Linked DNA regions of Tribolium castaneum. The protein of the gene in region 1 purifies or fractionates together with the protein of each later gene. This does not show direct contact. Links are inferred from orthologs where the notes say so. Each region holds a gene or a part of one and is shown on either strand. Other genes may lie near its edges. The genes, in order: mrn and Mat1.

Region 1 (9,457 bases):
TTACTTTTAACAATAAATGATTCAAAAGCCTGTAACCATGAACCAATAGAATAACCATCATGTTCGGAAGTTATCATTTCGAAAACAGGACAAACAAGTTCTTTATCTTTGATGTGTACCACTCCAGCGTAATAATAAACACGTTTTTTCGTCTCAGGGGGAGAATGGACGACACTTCCGGTTGCATCTAAATGTAAAACTATAAACCCATTATTTGTTTGAGACAGTGCATGTTTAATAACTTCTAACTGTTCAATACTAAATAAATACACTGTTAGGGGCTCAAAAACGCGATAAATATACTGGCGGTTTTCTCTCGACATTTTTATAAGATCGAAAAATTCGTCTGTATCTCTATCTAATTTAGAAAGAGTCTGTGACTTGATTTTTTTGTACACATGTTTGGATTTTATATTATCATAATTTCCTGCGCGAATTTGATCCGAGGGAACAAAATTTGTATCCCGAACTCGTGTCATGAATGGAGTCGATGTCTGCAATTTATTTCCTAATAGCTGTCTTTCAAAATTTCTCACAAAAGTTGTCCTTTTTTGGTTATCGTGCCGATAATTTAGTGTATTACTAAAAACGGTTCCAATAATATCATGTTTTTCTGGCGACAATTTAATGATAAACACTTTACAATTTTCATGTGCACAATATGCATAAATTGTAAATTTTTTTCCTTTCTTGTCTGATTGGTGTTTTTTAAAATTAAGAGGACAAATATTATTAACTGTTGCAAATTTCTTCCTCACAGTAATTTGATAGTTAATTAAAGAATTATTAAATTTAATGTCATTAAATTGTTCATAACTTAGTGAAAAAGTGCCTTCTTTAATATTACAATTTTTAAAAGACATTGGTTTTAAACGTTTTATTGATATATCATTTTGTGAATTTTCTGGCAAAAGAGTAAATTTTGATTTATTAGGTTGGTTATATAAATTTTTTATTGAATTTGGAACGTCATTCACTGAAAAATCGGTAATATGGAAATCATTGTAATTATCGAAAGAAGAAAACTGATTGGTGGATTCTGGTGAGTTAATTGAAAAATCATTTTTTTCAGTAGTGTAATGATTATCAAAAAAAACGGGACTATTAGAAATGATTTTGGATTCGACGATTTTTTTATGGAAAAACTGTTTTATGTTTCCTTCGTTCCGCGACAAAATTTTCTTAATACGATTTTTACAATCGTTTAACCTTCGTTTGCTAGGTTTAGAAAGGCGGAACATGTAAATAGAAGATTCATGAATAATCCGATCACTTAAAGGTAGATTTGCGATGTATGTAAGTGATGTATTAGGAGCCAAACTTTTGATAAAATCGGCTAATTCCTTGAAATCAAAATTCTTGGGCATTTTTTAAAGTAGACAACAAAAATAATAATAAAAAACTAAAAACTAAAAATTCTAAAACTAAAAAAACCCAAAAATTCAAAAACTAAAAAATCTAAAAATTCTAAAACTAACGACTATAAATGCTGAAAACAAAACCAATAAACTAAAAACAAAAGAAAAGATTCCGAAAAGCAAAAAGGTTCTTACAAAATTAATTCGCGCAAAAGCTCAGCAAAATACACCTGCTATCACCAAAGCCATGCAATAACTGCAAATTCAGATGAATCGAGAATCGGTATAACTCGTTATAGCAGACAGAGATAAGGTAGCAGACGATTACTCTAAATTCTAAGAAAATACCGCGTAGCCGGGAAGCCGGGATGATTCTAAGTAGACCAATAAAATGTTTTCCAAATAATCGGTATACCCTTTTTACCTTTTTATCTCGTAAAAATCGGCTCATTAACACGACTTCAATAAACTAATTTTCGTTTTAAGGTACCTACGAGAAAAGCAGTTCTTCAAAAATTTATAATTTATCAAAATGCACGAATTGTGATTTTATTATTATTACCCAGATACTTATCACAAGGTCGCTGCCAAGAAAGAGATAAGCATTATAATTATTATAAAAAATAATAATTACAAATACAGAATTTCGGACGAATTGTAATTTGATTGACATAAAAGTGCAAAACTGGCTTCAACTGGCTTTTTTATGTCTTACAAAATTAACTTTCCATTTTTGTCGACGCATTTAACCCATTCCACATGAAAGCCCATTAAATACTCTACCTTTCCTGAAAATTTCATCCCTCTAAAAGTTTGGGAAGACATCCAACCCTTAGTTTGAAATATGTCAACATTTTATTAATAATATTAAATATTTTTTTAGTACTATTTCTTTTTGTCGACGCATTTAACCCATTCCACATGAAAGCCCATTAAATACTCTACCTTTCCTTAAAATTTCATCCCTCTAAAAGTTTGGGAAGACATCCAACCCTTAGTTTGAAATATGTCAACATTTTATTAATAATATTAAATATTTTTTTCTAGTACTATTTCTTTTTGTCGACGCATTTAACCCATTCCACATGAAAGCCCATTAAATACTCTACCTTTCCTGAAAATTTCATCCCTCTAAAAGTTTGGGAAGACATCCAACCCTTAGTTTGAAATATGTCAACATTTTATTAATAATATTAAATATTTTTTTCTAGTACTATTTCTTTTTGTCGACGCATTTAACCCATTCCACATGAAAGCCCATTAAATACTCTACCTTTCCTGAAAATTTCAACCCTCTAAAAGTTTAAGAAGACATCTAACCCTTAGTTTGAAATATGTCAACATTTTATTAATAATATTAAATATTTTTTTTAGTACTATTTCTTTTTGTCGACGCATTTAACCCATTCCACATGAAAGCCCATTAAATACTCTACCTTTCCTGAAAATTTCAACCCTCTAAAAGTTTGGGAAGACATCCAACCCTTAGTTTGAAATATGTCAACATTTTATTAATAATATTAAATATTTTTTTCTAGTACTATTTCTTTTTGTCGACGCATTTAACCCATTCCACATGAAAGCCCATTAAATACCTACCTTTCTTGAAAATTTCAATCCTCTAAAAGTTTGGGAAGACATCTAACCCTCTGTTTGAATTAGTATGTCGTTCTATTAACTTTTTTTTTCAAATAATGTTTTTGAAGAAGAAATTAACGAATAATTATCTTATTTAGGTGGAATCTGCCCCCTAAATAATTGGGTAGCATGCCCTCCTCGTTTTTGTTTTGCCTTTATTAGGCGGTTTCACCTTTTTGTGTCAACTAGTAAACTATCTACATCCCCCATTGCTTTCAAAGATACAACAAGTTTGAAATTGCATTTACTTTATTTTTTTTAATAACAATACACTTGAATTTTAAAAGAAAATGAGTAAATAATTTATTTTCTTATAATTTGTGAGAAACGTAGCAACGTCGCAAAGTGCTGAAAACGCACATCCGTGATTTGACTGGTCCGCTGGAAATTTCATGGTGCTAGCTCTTTCCAAAGTGCTATCGTCACCGTAATATTTTTGACCAACCCTGCCACCCAAATTCCCCAACGTTTGAATAATTAAAAAAACATAGCCAAAATATTTTATGCCCAAAAACTTGGCATTTCGAAGCAGAGCGAAAACCAAGTTTTTTCTACACTTATTAAGACGAAGCGAGTGGTTAATTAAATAACAACTCCTTCGGAGGAAAAGTTGGGTTAGCTTTAAATCTGACAATTGCGTTGACAGTAGTTACCCTAACCCTAATTTTAAGTTTGCAAGGGGGCTGTTTAAATGGCAGACGCCGAGCCCGCGCAACCCAGCTCGCTTTTTTTGAAACCAACAAACTTAGAATGTAAAAACTTGTACGACTACTTAAAAACGCGCTCTTCGGCAACGTTGGAAAAACTCTACAACCATCCAACGATTTGTTTGGCCGTTTACCGGTAAAAACCCACTTTAAAATTCCAAATTTCGATTGACGATTTTAGAGAATTGCCAGAACTGGCACGCCAGTACGTGATTCGAATTTTGTTCGTTGAACAGCCGGTGCCCCAGGCAGTTGTGGCGTCATGGGGGGCTCAGGCCTTTTCCAAGTGAGTGTTTAAATGCGCTTGTACACACGAAAAGGGGGGTTATTTGTAGAGAGCACGTTTATGTGAGTAAGGTTTTGAGCGAATTGTCGGTATGGCAGGAGGCTGCGATTCCAGGGGGGCTCCTAGGTTGGATCCTTTCAGTTACGTTTAAAAAGAATTTGAAAATTGCCTTATTAGGGGGGTGAGAGTGTAATTAGTGTGATTATTGCAATGACTGCGTGATTTATCCCAAGGGGCAAACCTTGGAGCATGTCTTCGGCTTTAGAAGTTGACAGTAAGGCAAGAGATGTGTCTTTTTTGGACGCTTATTCGCTCGAACGGTGGGAATGTGTGTTACATTACATGGTGGGGTCGCAACAACAAGAGGGAATTTCTGCGGATGCTGTCAGAATTTTACTACACGCTGGGCTTATGAAAAGGTTGAATTTCTCCAAAATTGACTCGTTATCTTATTTATATTTATGTAGAGACGAGGAAGATGGCAGTCCTGTTATAACACGTCAAGGCTTCCAGTTTTTACTCTTAGATAGGCAAGCACAAGTTTGGCATTTTTTACTCCAATATCTCGACACAGTTGAGCAAAGAGGATTAAGTCTGGTTGAATGTTTAACGTTTTTATTCCAACTCTCATTTAGTACACTTGGAAAAGTATGTCATAACTCATAACACTTGGCGTTTTTTTTTAATAGCAACATTTTTTTGTAGGATTATAGCACTGAAGGCATGAGTCCCGGCCTTTTAATTTTTCTCCAACACTTGAGAGAATTCGGATTAGTGTATCAAAGAAAAGTAGGTCTTGTTTTCGTTACCATGGTTACCAAATTTTTTTTTCTGGACGTCACATTCCACAGCACCCATGATTAATGTAATTAATTTTGTAGCGCAAAGCAGGCCGTTTTTACCCGACCAGATTGGCCTTAAATATTACGTGTAGCCAAGGCCCCGAAACTCGAATTTTGGAGGAAGACACTCCAAAAGGTTACATAATTGTAGAGACAAACTACAGGGTTTATGCTTACACGGATTCTAATCTTCAAGTTGCTTTAATTGGTCTTTTCACAGAACTGATGTATAGGTGGGTCACAAAATAAATAAAAAAATGTTATGACTATCGGACTTTTCCCAGGTTTCCGAACCTTGTAGTGGGCGTAATAACACGTGATTCCATAAGACAGGCTTTGAAAGGGGGAATCACAGCCGATCAAATTATCGGGTACCTCAAACAACATGCACATCCTCAAATGTTGGAAGGTGAGGCCAAACATCCTCTACCTCCGACAGTTGTGGATCAAATCAAACTGTGGGAAATTGAGCGGAACAGATTAACGTATTCAGAGGGCGTTTTATACAGCCAATTCCTATCACAGGTATTACAAGAAAAATTGTTACGCGGTTTTAATTTGTGTTTTAGGCTGATTTTAATATACTGAAAGAGTATGCACAGTCTAATGGCCATCTAATTTGGTGTAACAAAGAAAAACGGACTCTAATCATCAATAAATCGGCACATGATGATGTTAAAAAGTTCTGGAAGCGATATTCGAAAGGAAATTAATTTAGATTTAATAAAAACTTTACCACTGATCGTGTTTCATTTAAAATTCCCTCGCGGATGAAACAGTATCGCCAATCTAAACCAATTCTGTTTTCACGCGAAACGGGCGTTTTTCGCTACAAATTCGTATCAAAATGTTGGGAGTTTCGGCCCAAGTGCTTAAACTAAAAAAAACATGTGGAAGCGGGTCAAAAATTTGAGTTTTCGCCCAATTTTGGTTAAAATCTGGCCAATAAATTGTTGGCAATCCTGCCGACAAGTGTCAAACGTCATGTTGACATTGACAGTTCCTGTAAAATAACAATACGAAATAATTCGTAATTTGTGCAAAATGCCTGCCGCTGTGGACAACAGCAAGCCGGATCGGTCCGAGCAGATGTGGAAGGTGCTCAAAGCGCACATTCTGCGTGAGCGCGCTCGCAAAAAGCAAGAACGGGAGGCCGAAGTGGAAGAGGAACGTCTCCGTAAAGAACGCGAAGCTCGCGAGCAACAAGACGTCATGACTTTGGGTGAAACCCGCGAACAGATCTCACAGCTTGAGAGCAAGCTCCAGAAACTGAAAGAGGAGAAACACCAGTTGTTTTTACAGTTGAAAAAAGTCCTCAACGAGGATGATAATAGGAGGCGACAGAAGGAGAACAAGTGGGTCATTTTTAGTATTGCATTGTTTAAAGACCACTTTTTAGTGACGTGCTGGCGATTCAAGCCCTCCCGACGGGTCTGGTGCACCACCAGCCGTTGTACATCTCGCCCAGTGTGCCCCGCAATGCTGTGCCCCAGCAACAAACGTTTAAAACTGCGGTCAAACGCCCGCGGAGCCCTAGCCCGCAGCCGGCCCCCGTGTCGTCCTACCACCAAGGCTATGGCTACAAGCCCTCAGTGGCGGTCTCTTCCTACCAGAACTCGCCCCAAAGTAATTATTCACTGTTTCGTGGTAATGTTCTAGCTAGGTTTTAACCGATTTTGTTTGCAGAAGATGATGGTAGACGTAATGAGTTAGTGAGGGCAGTTTTATGGAACAGTGAGTGTTTCTACACCACTTTAGCTTCATTCATAATGAAGAGGTTCTTTTCACTCAGGCACCACTTAATTTTTTCTGGGTGAAGGGAAGCTTCCTTCATTAGTCGAGAAAGTTGTGGCTTCATTTATCACCACCCATTCATGCTTTTTCCATTTAATTATCACTTTTCAGTGTTGTAATTTCGTCGATAATTTCAGAGACGCAATATCCGAGTCAGCAAGCAACGTTTTATTCGGTCTCTCCGCAGGATATTTCGATGTATTATCCTTTGGGGTCCATCTCGTCGCGGGAGCCCCCACCCTCTAGGAGCGCCTACGAGCCCCCACGGCCCCAAACGTACCACTTGGAGCAGAAATTACCCGAACATTACACTCTAAGAGTACCGAGTTCGCACGGACACGTCATTCATGGGGGCTCCATACCCTTGAGCCCCGCGCAGCCCAAGACTGGGAGCATCACAGCGGGGTACCCCGTCAGGAGCCAACAACAATACCAACAATCAGCCCCCGCGTCACTTTATACGGCTCAAAGTCGGCCGTTGTATCAATCGCCAGGGACTCCAATGAATTATCCTCCAAGAGAATAAGAAATAAAAATTAATAACTAACTAATTCATTTATTTTCAATTTGTTTCCTATCATCGCCAACTGTGACAATTTCTTTAGTTCCGCTCCGAAGCGTAAAAACTACCGGAACTTCGGCCAACACCGGATTATCCTTTTCCAAATGCCGAATCCACGAAACTAGTGAGTCTTTACTGGAGGTCCCAGTAGCACATAGTGCCAGAATAGTACCATCTTCTTGCTCATGGACACTTGGTACCACTGTCAGATTTTTCACGGGTGGCTTGATGTTGAAAAAGGGGATTTTAATGTCACTGACATCATCTAGATCCTCTTTGATTGGAGCTACGAATTTGGCGTTTTTGCGCAAGGTGAAGTAAGTCACTTGTTGGTGCTTCAGCCAGACGCGAAAGGGCCCCTCGACGTACAAAGGCTCCGTCACGTCGTGTCTCTTCAACAGGTCCTTCTGGATGGGGGCTTGCGCGCTAATAATCCACGTATCGTCCACACAATCCTCGATGTCTTTACTCTGATACGTCGTAACTTGTGTCTGGATGTCCACACTGCTGATCCGCTCAATTGCGCACTTTGCCAGCTCGTACACGCCGTCAGGGAGCGGGTTCGGGATGGGCCAAGGCGACGCGTTTTTAAATTTGGGCATCCAGTACATCATCCGCCAATATTTGCGCAAGGGGAATCCCCGATTTCCGAAAATATTTTTCAAAAGCTCCTCCATGTCGTAGTCGGGCATCACAGCGTTGTCTTCCATTTGTTCGAGTAAGTCGATAATGCACTGCTGCTGCTTGGGGTAGTGCATGAACTCGACTTGAAACATGTTCCTCGGAATGAATTTGCCTTTCGGCAGGACGTCTATTAGGGCTTTGTACACTTCAAGGTCCTTGTGGACCCCAAAACTTTCCATGTTTTTTAGCGCAGAGTAGATAAATTCAACGTGGCCCCGCCGGTGGACACTGTCTCGGTTGACGAAAATGTGGATCATGTCCAAGTATGTGTTCTTGTTCTTTGTTTCGATTTCTTCAAACGAGCGGTAGGTCACCAGTTGCTTGGGCTCGGACGAATCGCTAAATGTTCGCGCAAGGGGGCCCACTTTTGGGACAATGCGCAAGTTGCCCCGCATCAGGGGCACAAGCCTGGTCACGAACATTTTAACTCGTTTATTTAATCGTTAAAATTGGCATACTTGCCACCGGTTTGATAAAATTCGAGACTTCGGGTTTATAGGTTATGTAATTTTGAGGTTACGTTGTCACCACATTTTAAAATACAATTAAAAATGAAATACGTAAAATTCTTTCGGTTAAATTGTGCCCTTTTGACCGTCCTTTAAAACGTAAATAAAAAATACGAGTTTTTATGAAATTGTATTTATACAACCAACAATACGTATGAAAACCGTTTGAAAAATAGAATGGGTTTAACGGACTCTAGCCGTTACAAAACATTCTATTATCGGTGTTATCACGGGAAAAGAAACACGAGTTATCCAAAATGAGACTATTTATTAATTGTTATAAATACTGTTGCACATATTCGCAAATAAGTGGTCATAAAAATTCAAAGCATCACAAGTATAAGCACATAAGTCATGGTTTACCAAAAACCGCCGGAAGAGAAGCCCCCTGGGGGCACCCGCCCGCGCGAGTTGCCGTTATTTTGTGGCGGGGGCGGGGCTTCTTGATTGGCCGGTGCGGAAGGCTTTGGGGCCTCAGTGGCTTGTTTCACCGGTTCTTTGGGGGTTTCTTCCGCCCTCTGAACCGGCTTTTCTTCAGTCTTTTGCACCGGTTTTGCTTCAGTCATGTTCACATTCGTGCCCTCAGTAATGGAAGAAATGTTCCTCGGATTGATCTTCTTCTCTTGGGGCCTCTCAGGCGGGGCTGAAAGCCCCAGGACGTCCGTATGTCCTCCACCTGGAGGCTTCAAGACCCGGCTGGAGTTACGGCCACCGCCCACCCCCGTGAAGATATTAGTGGAAGTCATTCTGGAAAGTTTTAATGAAAAACTACCAAAATTGGAAAAAACGTTACTTACCTATTTGGTGTTAGTTTTTACCGGTTTATACTGGTTCAAAAGCCACACACTACGATTATTTCGGGGGTTAAAAACCGGGCTAGAAGATTTTCTTTCACAAATCTTCAGTTAACAAATTGGTGAAACAAAGGAATGATCAAGCGGAAATGCACGTTTTTGTCGGAGGTCGTAAAATCAAATATCAAGCCAACGGATAAATGAGACAAGTGAACTGCGCGAAAGTACTACGCATCCAAACAAATGAGGATCGGTCAGGCGGGGCGTGAATCTGATTGGTGCA
Region 2 (9,586 bases), about 6.0 Mb from region 1:
TTACGTACAATTTAAAAATTAAATCTAAAGAGTTACCAACATATAACATGACATCAGTTTTGGCCAAACCGAAAACAATATTTGTTACAATTTTATCCACAAATGTGATGAGTAAAATCATCAAATCCCCCAGTGAGAGAAATTTGGTAAATAGGGGAACCCCAATTAATGTCCCTTTAATAAAATTAACTCTAATTCGTGTATCTCATTTGGTACTTTGGTACTCACCCACTAAATGAATAACGGTATTAATAGTAATAAAGTAACTGTATTCAAGAGGACCCCAGTTAAAAAATCCTTGAACGTACAAATAAAAAACTCCTCCTTCACCTACAACCAGGTTTAAATCCGAGGAAAACCAAACACTGTTACCAACCTGTAACCACTATACTGTAAATGAACAAAATGAACAAAACGGCGACCACGAACGCTCGATTATTCCCTTTGCTCTTTTTGAATAGAAGATTGAAAGTTTCCACCGCATGTTTGGGGTCAAAAGCATCGACAAAAAACGATTTCTTTGAAATAACATCGGGCTGATGCGGTTCTTTAATCCAAAAAATCCCGTACAAAATCGCGAATAAATAACAAACAACGGCAATCGACAAAACTCCATAATAGCCGATTTTCTCAAACAAAATCCCACTAACAGCCTGTCCCACAGGAGTGCAAACGTTCAAAACGATTTGCACAACCCCGACCCTTAAAGTCCGCATCTCCACAGTGCTGACATCAGCAATGTAGGCAAAAACAGCCATGACAATCATCGTCTGGCCCCCGAAGAAAGACGGGATGACCGTCTGAGCGATCCCTTGTGACGCCAGCGGCCACTCTTTCATGAAAACAACACACAGGATGCACCCCGCGACGGCGAAAAACTCCCCCAGGACGGGAATCAAGAGAAAGGGCTTGCGCAGCTTGTGCCTGTCGCTGTACGACCCCAAAAACAGGACCAAAATTAGGGGCATGACGCTCTGGAGGGGTATCTGCCACGAGTGCATGTCCCCGATCAAAATCTGGATTTTCTCGTTCTCCTCCGAGTAATTTGTGGCCTCTCCGCTGAGGATGGCGTCGCAGATGGAGTCATTGAGCTGCAGGTTGGACCGGCAGCCCTTCTCGAACTCGAGGTTGTACAGCGCGGGCCCGCAGATGATGGAAGCGAGGAGGTACGCCGCGATTAGGGGCTCCACGGTGATTATGTTCTTGATGTAGTGGAGGCGCTCTTTGGTGGTCATCGTCCGGAAGGTCTTCGGCTGGAGGTCCGCGACGGACGCGGTGACCAGTTCCGCCGTCGATGCCATTTTTGTCAAAGACACTTCACTTAAGGACAGTTTTTGGTTTCATAGTAAATCGCGTGCAGCATAGCTGAATAGATGGATTCTCACTGAGAACAGGTTTCTTGGGGCGAGTCGGTGGCCTTACAGTGATTTAAAGATGTTGGAGGAGAAACGGCAAAAAAGAAATAAAAGTTACATGATCAAGCTGCATTCCGGTTGGGGATTTAAAGTGGCTAATTATCTTGATCATTTGAACTTTACTGGCGTTTTACGTTTGATAGTGCGAGATAGCATGACGGATCTTGTTTTCATGAAGATGCGCTTAATGTTAAGGTTGCGGAATAAATAAATATTAATAAGCAATGTCACGTCATTGTATTGAAATTTACAAAAACACGGAGATAACAATATCTATAATTAAATAATCTACCAAATTTGGTTATTGAACTCATGTGTGTGAGTATAGTTACAAATTTTCAAAGCCCGTTTACGGTAGCATTCTTTGCCATGTGATTATCTGCATCATTTTGTGGGATAAAAAATAACAAAGTGAACAATCAGACAGATCAAAGGTTAATAAGAATAGTATAATTATGTACCTACTTATTTGTTCAATCGTCTAGAAACGTAAATCAAAAAACTTACATATTGTCCCATTTCAGTTCATAGTGGAGTTTTGCAACAACTCATTTGCATTTTTTGTAATGAAATGGAGCACAAATTGAGAGTTTTTGGTGGGTTTTCTTGGCTCAAAAAATTTGTCGCTGGGATTTAGTTTAATATAGAAACTCTCAATTTGTGTTTTTTTATTTAAGTGACACAATTTCTTGTCTTTAGTAAATTAAAAATTTTGGTACACATGAACGTTAAAAGCAGAATACTTTACGAAAGATGATTTCATTTGATTTATTCCCAGGGAATATTAGATATAAATAGCTTTTGTTTTTGTTTTCTGACCTTCAATATCATATTTTTTTTCAAGCAGAACTTCTTAATAATTATTGTACTTGATATAAGCATTTTAATTCATCACAAAATATTGCAACAAGTCTGTTTACTTGAGTAAACTCCATATAATCTGTGCTTAAGCCTTAGGAGGGAAGAATAAATTAAAAAAAGATTTTTTTAATAAAATCATATAATTTTATTATATAATTATAAAAACTTACAGTTTCAAAAAAACTGTTATAGTGTTTTTATTTTTGTGTGCACAGTCAGTGTAAATAAAGCTTTTATAGTAATAATTTAAAACTGGGTTTCAAATTACAATTTTTCGCGCCTCATTTCCCGCAGCTTAAACGGTTGATCTACTGCCACGGAGCATTTGAACTATTATAAAAACTGCTGAAGGTTCAATTTATCAAGAAAAACATTGCTTAGGCTTCGTATTTGCTATTGTATTTGTTTTGATACTTATTTGCCTCAAATTCTGCTTATAAGCAATTTCAATTCGGAAATAAAATTAACTACACGCCCTCTGGTGATGACTTTTGAACTATGTCGAAAACAGTAAAGAAATTTTCGTAATGCCACATTTAACTGACATTTAATGAATTTGCGTGTATAGTGTTAATTACTTACAATAGAAAGAATTACTTTAAAAGTACGTGGTGGTAAATGCTAGCGTTGACTTTGGTTCTGTAGTTTTTCGTGGTATAAAGTGTTTATTGTTGGAACTTGAAAGTGGATAAAAAGTGAAAAATATTTAAATTTTGATTACAAAGTGTTATCAAGCAGTTGTTTAATTAAAGATTATAAGTAATGGATCACAGCGAACACAAAGTTTGGCTCAAGAAACCAATAAATTAGTGAAGTGTTATGAATTTTAGGTTAGAATTTTCCACTGAAAAAATCATGAAATGCTGCGGTAAATCTACAAAACTACAATAAAGATTAACAACTGCTGATACATTTAAACGTAAATTATGCCAAAAGGTAGGCTTTTCAATGTCTTTGTAATAATTTTCCAATAAAGAAAGTGAACCAAACAGTCATTCGTTATTCGTGTTTTCCTCGTCATCTCACATTTGTCAACATAAGTTTCTTGCATCAAAGATGCAATAATCATTCCGCATAGGCAATGTAATAATTGTGAAGCCCCAAAATTCGTACAACGCTCAAAATATCCGAATAAACATTTTCCCGCCATTTATGGTTACTGTTTTCGACCTAGCTCAGTGGCGCCCCCAACGGTAATTTTACTTCCGAATATTAAATAACGTGGTAACAGCAATGTGTGTGACAGCCGGCAAGTAAGGTTATGTGCTCCTGTTGATGTGCGAAAAAGTTGCCCCCTTTTCCTTGCACGATGGAGGACTTTACGTGCCCGCGATGCAAGACCTCAAAGTTCCAAAACCCATCACTCAAAATGATGGTAAACGTGTGCGGCCACGGGCTGTGCGAAAGCTGCGTGGACTTGCTGTTCCTCAAAGGCTCCGGGAGCTGTCCCGAGTGCCGCATTCCACTCCGGCGCAACAACTTCCGCGTCCAGTTATTCGAGGATGCCTCAGTTGAAAAAGAGGTGGATATTCGCAAACGCGTCTTGCGCGATTTCAACAAAAAAGAGGAGGATTTTAATTCGCTGGCTGAGTTCAACGATTATTTGGAGGAAGTCGAGACGATCATTTACAACCTGACGAATAACATCGACGTGGTTAACACGAACAAAAAGATTGAGCAATACAAACGCGACAATCGCGAACAAATAATGAAAAATAAAGGCAAACTGGGGAGAGAAGAGTACGAGCTGGAGGAACTCTTAGAGTTGGAGAAACAGCAGCAAGAGATGCGTAAGCAGGAGATAATTATTGAGGAAACTGAAAGTAAGAAGAAGAAGATTCGGGAGAAGGAAGCGCTAATTGATGAGTTGATGTTTTCGAGTGAAAATGCTAAAAACATTGTCGAAACGTTTGCCCAACAAGCCAAGGAGGCCAAAGAGGAGGAGGCTAAGGCGGCGCCTGCCAAAAAGACGCACTTTTCAACAGGGATTCAAATTGGGCGGCAGACACAAAGCTCATTTTTGCCTGTTCCCATCGAAGAGGGCCCCTTATTTGTTTATAAACCTTTGGTTTTGCAAACCGATGGCCCCAAATTGCCAACAGATGAAGAAATCGCCAGTATGGGGTACACGAACCATGTACGGGCAGAAAACGAGCAAGAGAGAGCTGGCGGTTTCAGGTCCAATATTGCGTGTGTTAGGGCTCTGCAAGATGCCTTCTCGGGGCTGTATCATGTAAGGAAAGCGCCGGTGCATTAATTTATTGACGTGTTGGAGAATAAAGATATTTTTTGTACATTAAAACATTTATTTTGTTAAAATAGAACACACAAATCTAAAATTTATAACTAGAAAGTGTGCCCGCGATAAATAGCACCGTTGATTACATCTAATTGTACTTGCGATAAACCTGTTAAACTAAGCAATCAATAAGGGGGCTATTTTGGTAAGTTTGAAATAAACCAAACGTTTGTTTAGTGTAAAAATATGAGTCAAGTCTATTACCGCCTAACTAAATATCATTAGTAACTCGCTTATTAGATGTAATTGACACTCTGTTAAATCAATTCTGCCTATTAAAACATCAAATGGCAGTGTTCATGGGAATTACATAATGTAAATATCATCTCACGTGATGTACTGAAAATTATTTCGGTTGAAATAATTTTATCGAGATCTCTAAATGAACAATCAGGCAATCTTATTTGTCTCAAAGAATCCATAAAACTATTCTAGCTACTAGTAGCCTAGAAAAATATAATTTATATAAAAATAAAATTGGTGTTTTTCACTCTCTATTTGGTAGACAATAACTTATATACAAAAAAAGCTTGAGTCATATTCATATAAGTCTGCCTCTCTTTATAGCTACATATTATATACAATATTTATAGAGCTTGACGGCTAAAATCAGACAAACAAGGGGTCAACGAAAATTCAATACGCACTAAGGGTGTGGTCACTGGAGTTTTGATTAGTGTAAAAAGGATTTTGATTGGGAAACTTCACTGGGAAAACGCCAAATGTCCCCCTGTTTATCTGTAGAAGAACACAAGACCGTGCAGATATGTCCTAACAGCGTAATTACGTTTAAATATCATAAAACCTTAGTGATGTGTACATAAAAATAAGCGTCTAGCGTGCGCGTTCACAGCATGCAGCATTTTTTCTTGTTCCTTTTCATGTAGCCGGTCTTTAGAGGCGGTCTTTCCGATAACTGGAATTTTCGCACAACGCGGACCAGTTCGTAGAAGGCATTATCCACATTCATCCTCATTTTGGCACTGCATTCAATGTACGGGATTTTTAATTGTCTGGCCAGCTGCTGCGCCTCCTCTTGCCAAACGACTCGCTGGTGCTCCAGATCCACCTAAACGGAACTGTTTACAAAGGACGGAAAATAGATTAGGGTCAAGGAATTACCTTGTTTCCCACCATCAGCATGGGGAACTCGTCGCGGTCCTTCACTCTAAGGATCTGTTTGTGGAATTTGTACACTTCCTCGAAGCTGGACCTTTCTGTTACTGAAAAGACGAGCAAGAAGCCTTCACCCGATCTCATGTATTGTTCCCGCATGGCGCTGAATTCCTCCTGACCGGCGGTGTCCAAAACTGCAATTTTGGCGGGTTAGCCTTGGGCTATTTTGGGGCTTGGGAGTAAACATTGGGGCGCTACTTACTGTCTAGTTTTGCGGGGATATCGTCGATGACACATTGTTTGGTGTAAGAGTCCTCAATGGTGGGGTCGTAGTCGGTAACGAAGTAGCTCTGGAATTTCGTTTTGAAACTTGTCACAAAAGTGTAGGATAAATTACAAGGTTAAACACACTTCACTCCATATAAAGGAAAATGTAATTAGGGACAATAACACCTGACGATTTTCATACGCTAGATTAATGAAACCAGCCCTTTTCAACAACGGAAAACATGCAAAATTGACGGTGTTTGCATAATTACCTGGATAAATTGCAAAGTTATTGCGGACTTTCCGACACCACCTCCACCCACAATAACCAATTTGTACGTCTGATAACTGTTGGGCCTGTCCGTTACCTTAGACATTTTAATTTCCTTTTTCAAATTAAAACTAATTTACGACGACTTTACTCAACTACTGATTTAAAAATAGGGAAAAAATAAATATAGAACAACTAAACGTGAAGTTAAACCTACCAATAAAAAATTAGTCACAGATTTAGTAACATTCACGATTCTGCCGCAACGTTGGCAACTAGACGGCGCCAAGTACAAATCATCCTTTTTCTTGTTTACCACTCTATGTGAGCATTTAGCAAGAAAATTTTATTGATGCGGGTGTGTGATGCTCCCACGGTGTTAATTTTCAACCCTTCCGTCGGTGACTTCGTTGTTTTTTATGCAAATTAGCAAATGCCATTACCATGTTTCATGAATAATGCGTGTTTCCGGTGATGTGGGAAAGCATTTTCCGAGAAGTAAATATGGGGCATTAAAATTACATAATGTGGAAGCTGGAGATGCGTTGACCTTCGTTTCCCGCCAGTTCCAGCGAACACCCCGCGATGACGCATTCCAAGATGTGGCCATCAGGTACTTGGTTCATCCCCCTTTTCAGGGACGGACTCGCCAGAAAATAACAGTCACAAACCAAATTAAAAAAAAAAACAGTTCATGTTATATCTCAAACTTTGTTGTGTTGAACCCATTAATTAAAGTGGTTGCAGTTAATTTAAAGTTGTTCTGATTATTTTCCATTTCATAAATTATTTCAACTTATTAATCTTATTATAACTATAATACGAATACGACTACAATAAAAATATTTGTACAAAGTCCAGAACCACAGATTACTTACACAGATAATGTTTTAATAACTATTGGCACAATTAATCTACACTCTCTTTTCCTGCTTTTATAGCACTATTTGAAACTTATTATAAAAAGTGTACACAAAAAGTACCGAATTTCTTAAATAAACAAAAATAATTATTAAAGTTTACAACAAAAATGACTATTTGATACATTTTTTTTTCAAAAACTTCACCGATTTGAATTTTGTGTGAATTTGTTCACTAGCTGCAGAAATCAGTTTTTAGTTTCCAGAATTCTTTTTGAATTGCGTTTTCTTCAAATGCAAAATTTTGGTGTTTATTATCATTTATAGTGTAGCTGGGTCATTGTGGAAAAATAATAATGTTAAACAATTTCTCGAAAAATTAGCTTTATTTTAAAAAAATCTTAAATTTTTGTAAGTGAACGTTTCATTAAAAAAATACAAAGTACAGATGTTTTTACTTCAAAATAAAGCTAGGTTTTCGAGAAATTATTTGCCATTATTATTTTCTACAATCACCTACACCATAAACAATAATAAACACTGAAATTTTTGGTTTGCATTTGAAGAAAACGCAATTCAATGTACTTGAAGTGCACCTTCAAACTTCAAATCAACGTATCTTTGTGGGGAAGCCACGAATCTTTATTTTTTTTATAATATATTTATTTGGAATACTAAAGAAGTTCTCTACAATGCTTTGGAATTTGCCAATTTTAAGACACCTTATACGTATCTTTGACTGAAGATGTTGTTATCGGTATCATGTTTCCCCAAATGATCAAAAAAACAGCTCGACTCATGGAGGTTTACATCTAAAGGGAATCGAATTTCTATCCAACTTATTTAAAAAGGAATTCGACTTCAAGATTTTTGACATAAAATTACATTGGTTTAAAACAGGACCCAGCCAATCATTTCTTCAACATATCCAAATTTCGAGATACAAAGGTTCGACTGTATTTGTTAAAATGTATTTTTTAAAATAAGGTTTTTGCTAGTTGATATGTTCATATTATTATTATTAACAAAATTGTTTGTTATCTGATTACTACAAGTTTTTAAATTCTTTGCTGTGCGTTTTTTTATGTTACAATTCACAAAAAGAAGACATCTTCAAGTTGGCACAATTGCAGCTTCTGCCAATTGACAGTAAACTAACAGTAAGGTTATGCGAAGTTGTTAAGTTGTGGAAATTCCTTTTGCCTTTTTGTGTGATCCTTCAGTTCCTTAATCCTCTATCCCATGCCTGGCGCTTGGTATGGTGAATATCCTCCTTGGTCCGCCCCTGTTTTTGTGCCCATTGCGCAGGTCCTCCCGTTGTCAAAGGCGCGCTGAGAACCAGAAACCGTCCTTCGTTTGCAGTCCAAAAGCGAGGTCTCTGAGTGACTGTTGTCGAATTAAAGTAAACACGGCGAGTGCATTGCGTGAGTGCTGCAGCCCTACGGGGCTCCCGTGTGGATATGGCTCACTACTACCAGTCTAGCCAAGACAGGTAAGCTGAATCCTTCCCAACCAACTTATTTCTCCGAAGAAGATCGTCGGTTTGTCTCCATAAACCGGTCGACGGTCGTCTGGAATGCGGAGCTCGCGGGATGAACCGACCCCTATTTACAAAATGGCGCCATAAAAAAGTCCGCCACAACCCCCAAACCCAGACCGGCGTAAAACATTAAGACCTGATTATGTAATTAGGGCAGTTTTAATTGTCATTCCTGGCAAGACGCAGTTCTTTTGTTCCCGAAATGTGGGTCCTCGTACCAGTCGTGCCACCCTTATCTAAAAAAGTGAAGAAATCGAAGATTCCAAAGAACGAAGAGCACGTTGCAAAAGACGGTTATTCATGACATCATTCGGCGAAATTGAAATGTTGTTTACTGATTTGAATTTGCCAATGAGAAGCGAGCAATTTGTTGAATAAGCGTGAATGAAATTAACGTGCGTTCAATTATGTAATCTTCTAATCTTCCAACTAACAGAATGCGTAGGTGTATATTTACTGAAGAGGGTGTCGTGTACGCGTTTCCTTACGAATCTCTACAACACGCGACCACAGGAAATGATAAAAAACTTATCACGAAAAGCTGCGTTTCCTCATACTCGTATTTACTCTCCAGGCCCTTCTACAACACACCCTTATCTTTTTGTGGTTCCGTGATCTTTTCCGAAAAATGGACAACCCACCTCATTCTCGGTCTATTTTTATGACTCCTAAACAAAAAGTATTTATGTGAGGAGTTTTTACTTTTCTTTGTCCAAAGATTGGTTCGTGGTAAGGCTTGGAACTTTGCCGACAACCAGCGATTGTCAATCAATCGTTCTAGGCTTCTTGGTGCTGAAAAGTTTTCCAAGGGCCACGCCTTCCAACCGAACAATGAAAGAAAAGAATTATTAAAAAAGTAACGTCAACCCTTTTCGAGATCAGATATAGTTTGTTGTACAAATGAGCGGAAGAGGTTGGTCAAGACGGGACAGAAGGGTTAAGTTAATGACGGTGGTG

The links.
Region 2: the proteins of mrn (region 1) and Mat1 purify together in Homo sapiens (co-immunoprecipitation; 3 studies listed by BioGRID and IntAct, with this or other methods). This does not show direct contact. The link is inferred for Tribolium castaneum from reciprocal best matches to the Homo sapiens genes GTF2H4 and MNAT1.

What each region holds. Positions count from the first base shown.
Region 1 is NC_087396.1:20,768,506-20,777,962, reverse strand, and holds mrn (general transcription factor IIH subunit 4), read left to right. Parts: upstream 1-3,487; 5' UTR 3,488-3,610; intron 3,611-3,636; exon of another isoform or gene 3,637-3,667; 5' UTR 3,668-3,687; coding exon 3,688-3,839; intron 3,840-3,884; coding exon 3,885-3,989; intron 3,990-4,038; coding exon 4,039-4,170; intron 4,171-4,222; coding exon 4,223-4,408; intron 4,409-4,456; coding exon 4,457-4,637; intron 4,638-4,694; coding exon 4,695-4,778; intron 4,779-4,870; coding exon 4,871-5,064; intron 5,065-5,115; coding exon 5,116-5,356; intron 5,357-5,400; coding exon 5,401-5,544; 3' UTR 5,545-5,571; downstream 5,572-9,457. Other genes in the region: G protein pathway suppressor 2, read left to right, coding at 5,876-6,186, 6,231-6,457, 6,518-6,565, 6,763-7,151; ECSIT (evolutionarily conserved signaling intermediate in Toll pathway, mitochondrial), read right to left, coding at 7,178-8,293; jupiter microtubule associated homolog 1, read right to left, coding at 8,740-9,126. UniProt on the Homo sapiens protein: Component of the general transcription and DNA repair factor IIH (TFIIH) core complex, which is involved in general and transcription-coupled nucleotide excision repair (NER) of damaged DNA and, when complexed to CAK, in RNA transcription by RNA polymerase II.
Region 2 is NC_087396.1:14,730,316-14,739,901, forward strand, and holds Mat1 (CDK-activating kinase assembly factor MAT1), read left to right. Parts: upstream 1-3,467; 5' UTR 3,468-3,585; coding exon 3,586-4,533; 3' UTR 4,534-5,422; coding exon of another isoform or gene 5,423-5,644; 3' UTR 5,645-5,697; coding exon of another isoform or gene 5,698-5,885; 3' UTR 5,886-5,953; coding exon of another isoform or gene 5,954-6,041; 3' UTR 6,042-6,230; coding exon of another isoform or gene 6,231-6,335; 3' UTR 6,336-6,388; downstream 6,389-9,586. Other genes in the region: uncharacterized protein LOC664490, read right to left, coding at 37-174, 229-330, 377-1,301; Ras64B (ras-like protein 2), read right to left, coding at 5,423-5,644, 5,698-5,885, 5,954-6,041, 6,231-6,335; Myb (myb-related protein B), read left to right, coding at 8,550-8,581.